2 linked regions of the Neodiprion lecontei genome follow. The protein of the gene in region 1 interacts with the protein of each later gene in a pairwise test. Links are inferred from orthologs where the notes say so. Each region holds a gene or a part of one and is shown on either strand. Other genes may lie near its edges.

Evidence for each region.
Region 2: the proteins of ER membrane protein complex subunit 2-A (region 1) and ER membrane protein complex subunit 8/9 homolog interact in a two-hybrid assay, tested with the Caenorhabditis elegans proteins (3 studies listed by BioGRID). The link is inferred for Neodiprion lecontei from reciprocal best matches to the Caenorhabditis elegans genes emc-2 and F25H2.4.

What each region holds. Positions count from the first base shown.
Region 1 is NC_060260.1:5,298,373-5,304,030, forward strand, and holds ER membrane protein complex subunit 2-A, read right to left. Parts: upstream 4,056-5,658; 5' UTR 3,909-4,055; coding exon 3,875-3,908; intron 3,370-3,874; coding exon 3,256-3,369; intron 3,155-3,255; coding exon 3,004-3,154; intron 2,890-3,003; coding exon 2,746-2,889; intron 2,671-2,745; coding exon 2,514-2,670; intron 2,385-2,513; coding exon 2,289-2,384; intron 2,183-2,288; coding exon 2,009-2,182; 3' UTR 1,285-2,008; coding exon of another isoform or gene 1,123-1,284; 3' UTR 988-1,122; coding exon of another isoform or gene 861-987; 3' UTR 716-860; downstream 1-715. Other genes in the region: tRNA (guanine(10)-N2)-methyltransferase homolog, read left to right, coding at 84-222, 362-560, 861-987, 1,123-1,284; uncharacterized protein LOC107223771, read left to right, coding at 5,381-5,658.
Region 2 is NC_060261.1:27,859,863-27,866,064, forward strand, and holds ER membrane protein complex subunit 8/9 homolog, read left to right. Parts: upstream 1-1,657; 5' UTR 1,658-1,840; coding exon 1,841-2,050; intron 2,051-2,238; coding exon 2,239-2,315; intron 2,316-2,746; coding exon 2,747-2,816; intron 2,817-3,086; coding exon 3,087-3,181; intron 3,182-3,265; coding exon 3,266-3,440; 3' UTR 3,441-5,439; downstream 5,440-6,202.

The sequences.
Region 1 (5,658 bases):
CGGAAACAACGATGGTCCTAAAACCATGTTACGGTCATGCCAATGCAAGAGCTTGAATGCCTTTAACTCTCTCTGTTTTTTAGACCAGAGGGAAAGACGAAAGTATAGCATCGAATATGAAGCAATATGGAACAAGTTCATATTACATCGATGTCTTAGTGACAGATTTCTCTTTACCTGTCTGGCGTTCAGACATGAGAGTCGATGCAATTATCACAGATCGTAGGTTCAATGCATCACATTATTATGATGGGCATACAATACAAGAGTTTAAAATCGATCGACATTGCGAATAGTAATGAATCCGAAAACTTCTTAGCAATTGAATTTCAGCTTTAAAATCATCTTAAATCTTGCACAGCTCCATATGGAATAAGAGAAGCAACGGAGCGTGTAGGTACCATAAAAAGACAGCCTGTAATCGACCAGCATCAAGTAGCTAGTCATATACCTTCTAAGATTGACTACGGGCTGCCTCAGATGTTCGTTGATCTGCTCTCATTTGCTGCGAATCATTTATGTATTAACGGCAGATTGGTATGCTGGTTTCCTTTGTTCAGGTAAGAACGTAAAAAATATGAGACTTATGATAAACTGACAACAGACTGCAGACATCAAATGGTTGAAATTTTCGATGACTATATATTTTTTTGATAATTCTGAAAAAAAAAAACAAGGTTCCATTTGCTACTAAGACCCTTTAAGCCGAGTCTGCTGTATTTCAAAATATGTTTTAATTTTATTTATTTTAATACAAACAATCCATAAACAACAAATGTTGCACATATTAATAATTTAAGTAATAAAAATAATGTGCTGTGTTGAATGTCATGTAATTGAACGTATACATGATCCTACAGGGAACACTATGCAGACGAGCAGCTTCCTTCACATCCATGTTTGCAATTAATTGCCAATTCGGAACAGATTCTGAGTACATATACAAGTCGCCGCTTGCTCACTTATAAGAAAATTCGAGATCCTCAGGTACATAGGAGCATCATGAATTTGCAAATTTGAACAGTTGGTAGAAAGATTTCATTTCGCTGTCTGAAATGAACCTTACAGAATCCTATATATTTTTGTTCTAAGCGTAAGATTGACAGTTTTTGTTCTTTGTAGGATGATGATCCAATTGATGATTCGAATGTATTAGACTTCCGTGTAAGATATTTCGGACATGGAGATGAAACAAGAAAAGAAAGAAGAATGAAGAGAGCAGAACAGAGGGCAAAGAATAAAGAGAATTGGGAAAAAAATATTAAGTCAAAAACTGCAAGATGACTAAATCTTTTTTATATGTAAAAGTGGTAAAAGTTTATTTAACAAACCTGCTTTTTACTTTATTTAAAACGCACTTTTACACGAATAAAAATATTTTTTTACCATTTATTATTTCTCAGCAAAGACATCATGCGAGTAGAAATTGCAAACGTGGTCTTTTTTCAAAATACCACAGTATTTTTAAAGGTGCTATTCGACTTCAATTCTCAAGGTCGCCTAAATGTTGTTCATGTACCGTCACATCAAAAGCTCTTCACGTATAGATCCCGTTTCAAAACATACGTAGACATCCATGGATGTCAAAAGCAAATCTATGAACTCATGTTTTGTCAGACCGACAGTAAATAATCGGTATTATTATTTATTTTTTCATTCAATAAATTTAATATTCATGATGAATAATATTAAATAACAATATAAACATATTCTTTTAGAAACCTTCACAAATAGGAAATACAACTACTGGAAAGATAATTTCTTACAACAGTGCCATACACGAAATACATCATATTTACGTACCATGTGGAGTTCAAATAAAATGCAAATAAGCAGTGTGTATACTTATGTATACTTAACTTGATAAATATGTATACTGTATGCATATGTGATATACTAGGAAGGTTTCATAGTTCCAATGGATCAATGTTTCAAACACATCAGTAGATAGCATCTCTCCGTACATCCATCAGCGTACCAAATACATATACATTCATATAATATATGTCTATGACTCTAATTGTAATTGCCCTAGTACATCTACAACATTTTTAACATCTTTTTCTGTCGCTTTTAATGCATACCTTTTCTGAATTTGAGTTGCAGCCCAATTGCCAAGCTTTATTGCATCCTTTTTCTTTGAAGCAGGACACTTTGCTGATAAAGCAATGTTGTTTGCCACCTATTTAAGTTAGCAGATAGTATTATTCTCAAATCGTCTACTATTTCCGACAAATTTTCTGCCCTAATATAATTTGCTTATATAGAGAACACTTCTGAAAACTTACCAATAATAGCCCATAAAGTGCTCGTACGTTGTTGGGATTCAACTTGATTGCTTGAGCGAAATAAGTTTTTGCCAATTCCATATTATCGAATCCACCCTAGATGATAAAATATTAGATTTGTTAAATTTATAGGACAGCAAAATTAGAGTACTTAATCTTTACTTGAAGTGAATATTTCATTTCTATTTAGGTAATACTACAGAAGAGATGCGTTCATTCACTAACCTGGGTATACTTAATTTCTGCATATCGCTGATAAATCAAATGACTATGAGGGTTGTGCAAAATTAATTCTTCCATGCAAAAAGCTGCTTTAGCATACTCTTGCTCTTGCAGGTATAAATCACACAATTCGTGCCATGCTTCTTGGTCACTCATGAACCTGTTTAGAGAATGTCAGTATTTTAATCAAATGAGTAACAGGTTTTACAACTAATTCCTGATGCGGATGACTAACTTTTTCAAATACTCGGTGAGTTCTTTTATAGCTTCAGTTATTCGACCTTGTGCCTTTAGAATTGCCAATCTTCTTTTTCTTGGTGCTGCGTTAGTTTCATCTCTTTTGATTATGGAGTCCAAAATCTTGAGGGCCTCATCGTATCTGCAAATGAACACATTATTTGTGCCAAGTAATTAGAGATCATAGAATATATATAATCATGGCAATTTTCAGTGCATCATTATAAAGTTAATGTAAAATGGTTATATGTAATACTTTTCCAAGGCTTCCATGTGCATTGCGTGATATTTCAGCACCCTCAGGCTGCCTGGAAATTCTTGCTCCAATAAATCAATACATTCTTTGGCAACTGATAAACGATTGCAATCCAAGGCAGCCACACACACTTGTTCTAAGACTAAATATTCTATAAAATAATAAATACCGCAATATGAAGGTCAATTTTCACGTAATATTTCATTTTAGGTAAGGGTTAGATGAATAAATATTTATTATGAGGATTTTTACTTTCGTTTCCTAATTTATGGATCTTCTCTATTAATATGGATTCCCATAGCTCAACCACATCTTCACTCTTGCGTTCAGAATCTTCTCGCCAAGTTCTGAACAAGTCTCGTACATCTGTGGATTTGATTTGAAAATTGATTAGCCGTATAAATTTTTACGTACGGTAAAGTACTGCGATGCAGTTGGCTATGCATGCACATATTTGCATTTAGTCTGATACTTGATTTTTCATCATATTTAGTATGAAACAAAAATTTGCAACTGTGATATTGTAGCGAGATATAGCTTTATGATTTTGTTTTTGAAATCTCAGGCTCGTACAACGTGTCCCCAATTAAATATTATACACGTTATGTAAAATACCTGTCTTAATACATATGATAATATATAAATATGTATTTAAATCTAGTTGATTATGTAATAGTTGGGTAATGAGGCAATATGTAGCATGAAATTCAGAAAAATGAATATTGATACATTAGCGTTACATATTGACTTACTTGACAAATAGAGGCATGTAAGCTCGAGTATCGAGCTGAGTTTAGGTTTGATTTTTCAATATGTGCATGTAAAGAGGACAATGTCATCGTCAATTTATCAACTTATTATAAAGACGTACCTGTCCAAGACATATTATCATAATTCCATGGCATTTTTTATCTACCGAACAGAAGACCAACAGCCAACAATACGAAAAATTATTCAGTCAATTGGTCAATAAAAGTTGATTACTTAAATCGAGGTTATACGACAGAGTTAGCAGAAAATTTACTCTGTCAAACTAACGCGATCACAAAAACTTGACTCACTCTTTACCGAATCTAGAAGGCTGCGCATTGCAATTCAAAAACAACATGTATATAATATACGTAATACGTACACATACCTATGTACGTATGTCATATGTATGCACCACTGAACACATATTTATCATTCGACGTGCAGGCCGTATCCGCATGATATAGATTAATTAATCTAGTTGTTTTATACCGCTAATAGAAGGTTTAACAATATTTTTCATCCGTTTGTACGTAGAGTTTGATTGTAAGCACGAGAGATTTTATAGTTTTCCTCGATGAATTACTGGATCCGCAATGTGGAGTAATGGATATTAGCGCGTGAAAGTACATTTAATGCACTAAAGAGTACATCGTCATGTGTAGAGTTTGGGGATGAAAACATTTTGCAAAATATTTAAAACTGTATTTGAGATTGTGGTATAAATTAAGTTATGAATCTTAAATATTAATATAGAATTTTTTGCTTCTAACTAGAAATATGATTTAAAAAATCGTAATCTCAAATAGTAACGAAATATGTGCGCATCCGTAGGTAGGATAGGTAAAATATTTAAATTTTTGCGAAACAGCTAAAAATACATATAACAAAGGTCGGGAGTAGAACAGGTGTTTGAATGTTTTGATACAGATGGCAGCGGATAGTAGTATCTGGGTGGCGCTCAGCTCGTGGAATAATTTCTTGTCGCTCTCATTCCTCGTTGGAATATTGCTCGTGCTGTTATCTGTTGTGTTTTTGGGCTGTAACTGTACGAAAAACATGTCCCTTTGATAATAAATGGTTGAAAAAAGCTCAAGGTGTAGACATGGAAAAATCGGTTCGTGTTTAACCGTGTAGTAATAGTGACGATTGGATGAAAGGCAGGTGTAATTTAACGGGTGGATGGTAGGCTCGTGAATTAATAGGATATCGATTTGCCCGCACAAGTGCTGTGCTGGCTGTAACGCACACGACCGAGCAACTAGGCAGCCATGGACGTCGATATTTTTGGGGCACAGTCCGTACGGACATTGAAATATGACCATTTAACATCGTCAAAGGCCTGATAAAAGGCAATATGTTGGTAATCAGGGTCGCGAGTATAGCGAAGTAGTATTAAATAAAGAATAACGCGAGGGCGAAACTCTCGTACAACGGTGGTTCGTAGCTAGTGTTGTGTTTGTGTGTATTAATCGTCCGGTGCATCGCGTTTCGTTCCTTGTTCCCTCGGTTCCTTGTCCGTGATAAAGTTCATCGTACGCGAATTGCAACGTGAAATATATATTGCTGAAAGGATATTGAAAAACGAAGAATTTAATCCAACGCAGTCTTTGTCAAAACCCATACAATGGAGCTTGGAAGTAGCATGAGTTCAGGGGCAGTCGCCTGTCCCGTTTGCACTTTGTATTTACGCGAAGGTATAAGCTTGCAAAAGCATTTGGATACTCACCCCAAGGAACAGGTAATCGAAGCTCTGATCAAGGCGAGCACGTCGCCAGCGCAGCAGCCTCAGTTGAACCTTTCTCAACCGGCACAAAATCCCATCCATTCACCACCGAATCCTGTGGCTTCTCAGTCGCCGTACCCTGTAGGGCCAGTATTTGAATGTCCTCCGGTAGCCCCGAT
Region 2 (6,202 bases), on another chromosome or scaffold:
TGCGATTCGCGGGTATGCTCGAAATATTTTATTATGGATTGACCCTGAGGTATTTGAATTGAATATCAACATACTAGATGGATCCGTATAACTACAGAAGCTACAAGTTTTCGTTCTGTAACGATCAGTGAATGACAGCCTAATTTACTTGTTAAGATTTGTAAATTTCTTTGAAATTCGCTATTCAATATTAACATCGTTATAAACATTATGTGTTGAAATGTACATAATTAACTTTTAAACTTCATTTCGATTTAACACAAGAATTTTAACGCATATGAGATGCCCCGATTGCAACCATTATTTCTAATACTATGTACAAAGTTATTCTACATATAGTTAATATTAACGTATAATATAGTCACACAGATAATGTTTGAGCGAAATAATTTGGTTTAGGTTAAAAAATTTTCATGATCTTCGTATGTGTGACAATTTTGAAATTGCTGGGATCGGGAGCAGTAGAAAGTATATTTGATTATAATTTTTGGCCTTTTTAGTGAAGACATACTAATATAAATACCTGATTATGCATTGTGATGGCATTAACATTTTGCGACATTTATACAGCATTGGGGGCTGTTAGGATAGTGATTTGAAATGGCAAATATCATATCGGACAATTATTATCTTCCTTGAAAAAAATATTTTACGTTTAACGACGTTCAACAATTTTACTGTTTTCTGAAATTCATTCGAAGAATCTGAAAATCTAGGACTGTTAATTGGAAATGTGAAAAAGTGGAGAAAGTGAAATAGTGAGATGAAGTATTGGGACTGCGCGCAATCGATTTCTCTCGAAAAAATGCGTCGATAGAGTGTATCAAAGAATTGATTCAAGTATTTTTCAAAATCGGCCAAATTTCGACTGAAACAAGCCTTTGCTTTTTTTTTTGCGATTTTCAAAGCTCGAAACTTTTCGTCTTAGAATCGTTTTGCAGAAATATTTTTCGACTAATTGAACCCTCAGGAATGCAGAAAAGACATCAAAACGAGCGTAGAACCAACAGCAGAGGAATTATGAACGATATTTTACGTTTTTCGGCTGTAACTTTTGAAACGTTGCTTGCAGCGTACTTCGTAGAACTGGTCTATAAGCTCTATAAGTAGCTGTTCGACATATAAGAAAGTAATCCAATTCATTCTCGTTATTCTAGAATCATAATACATGTAATGCATGGAAATGAATCAAGTGCTGATATATTTTTTATTATGGTTTATTGTTCATAAGAAAGCCCCTGGACACCCCGCAATATTTTTAGTATAAACTATACGCGGTAATAAACGTACGAAAAGACATCTTAATTATGCACGACTGCACGATTCGGGAATAATGAGAATGAATTAAATTATTTTCCTACCTCGAAAAACTATTCCCGTTTATTCGATCTTCTTCTCGCTCATTCATTTTCTCCTTTTGTTCACACTTCCAATCAACAATCCTAGATTTTTCAATTCTTAAGACAAAAACGCAACTGAGAACCACTGATTCAATTACGTAATTCAGACTCACGGCAATTCGCCGTTGCGTCGGTATTCATTTTCATGAACGTCATTCTGCCGCCGCAGTCGCGTCGATTTGACGCCCGTGTAAATTCAGCCTAATTCGTCACTGACAGTTATTGGTTATGAAGAACTTCCACTTACCAGCGGAGTCGGTAACTAGGTCGGTAATTCGTGAAACTGCTTTTACTCCCCTCAGGAAAAATAACCCAGGGCTAACTTCATGTGCATATTTTCAGTCATACATAGCTAACGTAGCTAGTTGTCAAGTGTCAGTGGTCGAGCATAGTCTGTGTTTTAGAGCTCTTCGTGAGTGAAACAACCGAAGAACGCGAGCATGGCAGAGGTTAGATTTTCGGTGCGTGCTTACAGCAAGATAGTTTTACACGCAGCGAAATATCCCCACTGTGCAGTAAACGGTTTGCTACTAGCGGAGCAGAAACCGAGGGATGCCTCCAGATCGAAAGAACTCTACATCGTCGATGTTGTGCCCCTTTTTCACCTCTGTCTCCATGTATCGCCGATGGCCGAAGTCGCCTTGACTATGGTTATTTTACCTACCTTCATTGTTATTTATCATTCACGTATCAGCTATTCGTATACCTGGCACAGGTCCGCGGTTACTTGACTCGCAATTAGAACTGCAAAGTTCATATTTGAATTCAGTATTTTTCACATAACAATGATGATCTTTTATAATTTCTAACTTGTAACATTGTTTCTTGGTTACTGCAGGTCGATCAAGTCGCTGCTCACCAAGGTCTGCTAATTGCTGGTTACTATTTGGCTAACGAGAATTTATTCGATTTGAGGTACGTATTGCCAGCTTTGAAAAGTCCATTGAAACTGGATATTTGATATGTCGCACCTGAAGTTCCAACCCATCAATCTTATCTGTAAAACTTGACCGATCACTAACAATAAGTTTCAATACTAAACTGATATGGGTCAATGTGATATTCAACCTGAAGTATGTTTCTTATTCATAGATAGCTTGCCAAGTTCCTTTTATACTGAAAAAAATTATCAGAGCTTAGTATTAGTGATAACTTCAGGTAATTCGACCTAAGAGAAATTATAAATCGAAAAACCAGTCAAAAAATAATGTCGACCACTATTTCTGAAGCCTCGTCGTGTGTTTCGATTGTCCTGATCGAACTGAAAAGAACAAGTCTTATATTTGTGTTCATCGCAACAATAAATGATGCTTTTTATATATTAAATGTTGGTGTGATTTTTTTAGCGTGGACAAGCCAGCTCACAGAATAGCTGACAAAATAGCGGAGAGCTATGCTTCTGCCTTATTAGTTGTGGTGAGTATGCAGGAAATTGGCAATTGTGACAATCTGACCCAATTTAGATATCCTTTGGTTCAGTTGTCATTTCTATTTCCTTGTAGAATATAAAATATTTTTGTGAATTCTATTATAAATTTTGACAATCGTCAGAAGATAAGATATTTCTTATTATTAAAGAAAACCAGTTTTGGTACGTATCATGAAAATTTTAAATGCGATATTACATGCCTAATAAGTTGTACAGCAGAAGGGAAAGACATTTTGAAAAGACTTTAAAAATTATAGGTCGACAACAGGAAAGTTACGCTTCGCATGGAAGAGAATCCTTTGAGAGTTTCACAAAATGTAGATGGAAAATGGAAACCTATAGAGAAAAATAAGTATGGAATATTTATTGTACCTGATAACTAAGCACCTTGGTAACGATCAGCAAGTAATAACAAAACTCGTTATTTTACTTATAGGATAAACTTAGATAAAGATGTTCTAGAAGGAGTTTCGACGATGTTGCAAGGGCAAGATTACCGTGATCTTGTCGACTTCGACAATCATCTCGACAACATATCCCTTGATTGGCAGAACAACGAATTAAACAAAATCATTGACGAAGCAATAGAGGCTGTTGGTTTAGGTTCTTAATTCACTTGTGCGAAATAGTGCCTCACGAAAATTCCACGGTACTGTTAATTCCCAAGAGGAAAAAGGGGAATAACTTGGAGAGTTGTTGCAAGCCTGGAAAACTGAGCAAAGTGAGGGAATTTTTCAATATACAAAAAAAAGTTTGGTGAATACGGCTGAAAATTTTTATCTGGATTCGGAATTCACGTCGATCATTGACATAATCATGAATAATGCAAGTGAATGTTTCAATTTGCATGTCAATTGGTAAATTCATTCGCGTTCTGATTTGTACGACAGTCATATTTTATCTAAATATCAACAAAACATGCAACAATTTGAATATTACTCGTTCCAGCTTTGTATTCTAGAACATAACGTTATCTCACATAGGTTCTGTAAAATGAATACGCAGTTCGCCACACATTCCGTATAAATGGTACTAAAATCGTATTCAAGAAATATTCTTACTTGGAAAACATATAAAAATGATAAATTTTTCAATGAAAAATTTGTAATAACCCTGAACTTTGCACAGAATCTTTGAGTACCATAATTTTACCAATGTTATGTTCAGTGAAAATAACCTAATTTAACAAAAAAAAATTCTATATTTGTCTGCACCTTTAAATCTTTTGTGTCCTATTCACAAAGTCTATAATAAAACATGCAGACCTCTAAAACCGACGTTCGAAAGACTATTTCAATGTTGCACGTCTATTCTTACACATAGGTGCATATTATGTGAGTAGGAGAAAAGACGAATTTTGATATGATTGTGAAAGAAATGTTTATTCGGTTTAAGCTTCTCACAAATGATTTTTTTGTTCATTCTACAAAATTTCAAGTTATTTGTAAGAAATTTTACAAAGTAGTTCGCTTGTATTATTTTATTTGTTTTTTTTTTTATTGTTGTTGTTATTATTATTATTATTATTTTTTGTTTTGTTTGTCAGATTTTTATCACTTTTCTTTTTTTAGCAGTATACGATACATAATTAAGCCATCGGTTATTTAGTCTACTCTTTTAACTTTATAGCTGTTCAGCTGTACACAAATTACCTACACCTATGTCCCTCGTCTCGCCTTTCTCACACTCATTCCTCGATTCTCCGACCTTTTTTTGTTTGGTGACATATTTCTGATTACTACGTGCCCTTGAAATTCATTTGAATCGCACACGAGTGACACAAACAGTAATAGAAATTTCAACTTTTCATTTATTCAGGTACAAAGTTCTTGAAATTTTATTTTACATCGGTATCTATGTACTCATTCACCATACAACAACACTCACCGGTTGTTTAAAACTGCGGATCGCGCCTCTACATCTCTCATTAAAAAAAAAAGAAAAAAAAAAAAATTATACTTATTATCTGTATGCTGTTTCGTAGATTTCAATTCTTTAGACTTTATCTGCTTGTAAGCACAGACTGGATATTTAATCATACCTTTCCTTAAAATACATTATTATGAGGTTGAAACAAATGATATTTACTTTTTCTTTGTGAAAAAATTATTTTTCCTTTTCACTGGAAATAAGAAAAAGAACTTCCTTGTTTCCTCGCTTTCGAGTGCACACCATGTGGTCAAATTTTGCATGAAAACGTACGAATATGTGAGCCAATAAACAGTTTTTCACATCACCTTATTTAATCTCGCGAAAACGAAAATAGGCAAGAATAATTCTCTGCACAATTTCTTTCCAGCTCTATTTTATGGGGTGCGATAGATACGTGCAATAATTTATCACAACCATTTGTTTTCTTGCCACTCAATGCGATCTACTCTAAAATCGCCGTAGTTAATAACCTCCGATAAATTAATAATTCACTTCATGGCTTGTAGTTTGTTTCTATTTCTTTAACTTAAGATATTATAAATCAAACTGCAACTAGCCTCGTGTTCTTTGATCACTTGCACTGTTTGATTATGTTTAGCTTAAACTCGTCGTCATTGCTGTGGTATATTATCCATATACTGTCGGTAATATTTGCGATTTTATTTTTATTTATTTTAATGTTTTGTTGAAAAATAGCACCCGTTAACATTAGTGTTATTCATCTATATATAATTTACGTATAATATGTATATTGTTATTTTTCATACCATAACGTTATATATATATATATATAACGTTATGTATATATATATTGTTGTATTTGTCGAAGAATTGTAATTTGGATAGTAATTTAATTTTTTTTTCTCACAATTTTTAAAAAATCTCGTCAAACTTAACAACACGATATGATCAAGCATATATGTATACATATATTATTACATATATTTACGCACCTACTTAGAAAAGTAGGATTTAAAAAACTTCTTTAAATTTATAACCTATTTAACATTTTTTTTGTTAGTGTCTTACTTACATTTATGTCTAGCTCTACACGTAAAAATAGTGGCATACTATTCACTAAGGCATCGATCAAGCTATCGCAGATTTTTCTGACGTCTCTATGAACTATACACAATGGTGCTATAGCTGCTTCGTGCGACATTAATATTATTTAATTTATTAACTGTTACATCGTCGTTATCATAAATATTAATTTTGAACCCTAAACTCTGTGCCTAACGTACAAATTATGTTTTCTGGCTGCAGGCTTCATTCTAAATATCTAATACTTTTTACTGCGTTTTTTCCCATGTTGTCTTGCACTTCTCATGCTTCGTTAATTCAATCGATTCTTATTCAACGGCAAATAAGCGTATATGCATAAGAAATATTCTTTGGATGATATCTGGCGAGTACAGAATTTTCATAAATTATCACAAAT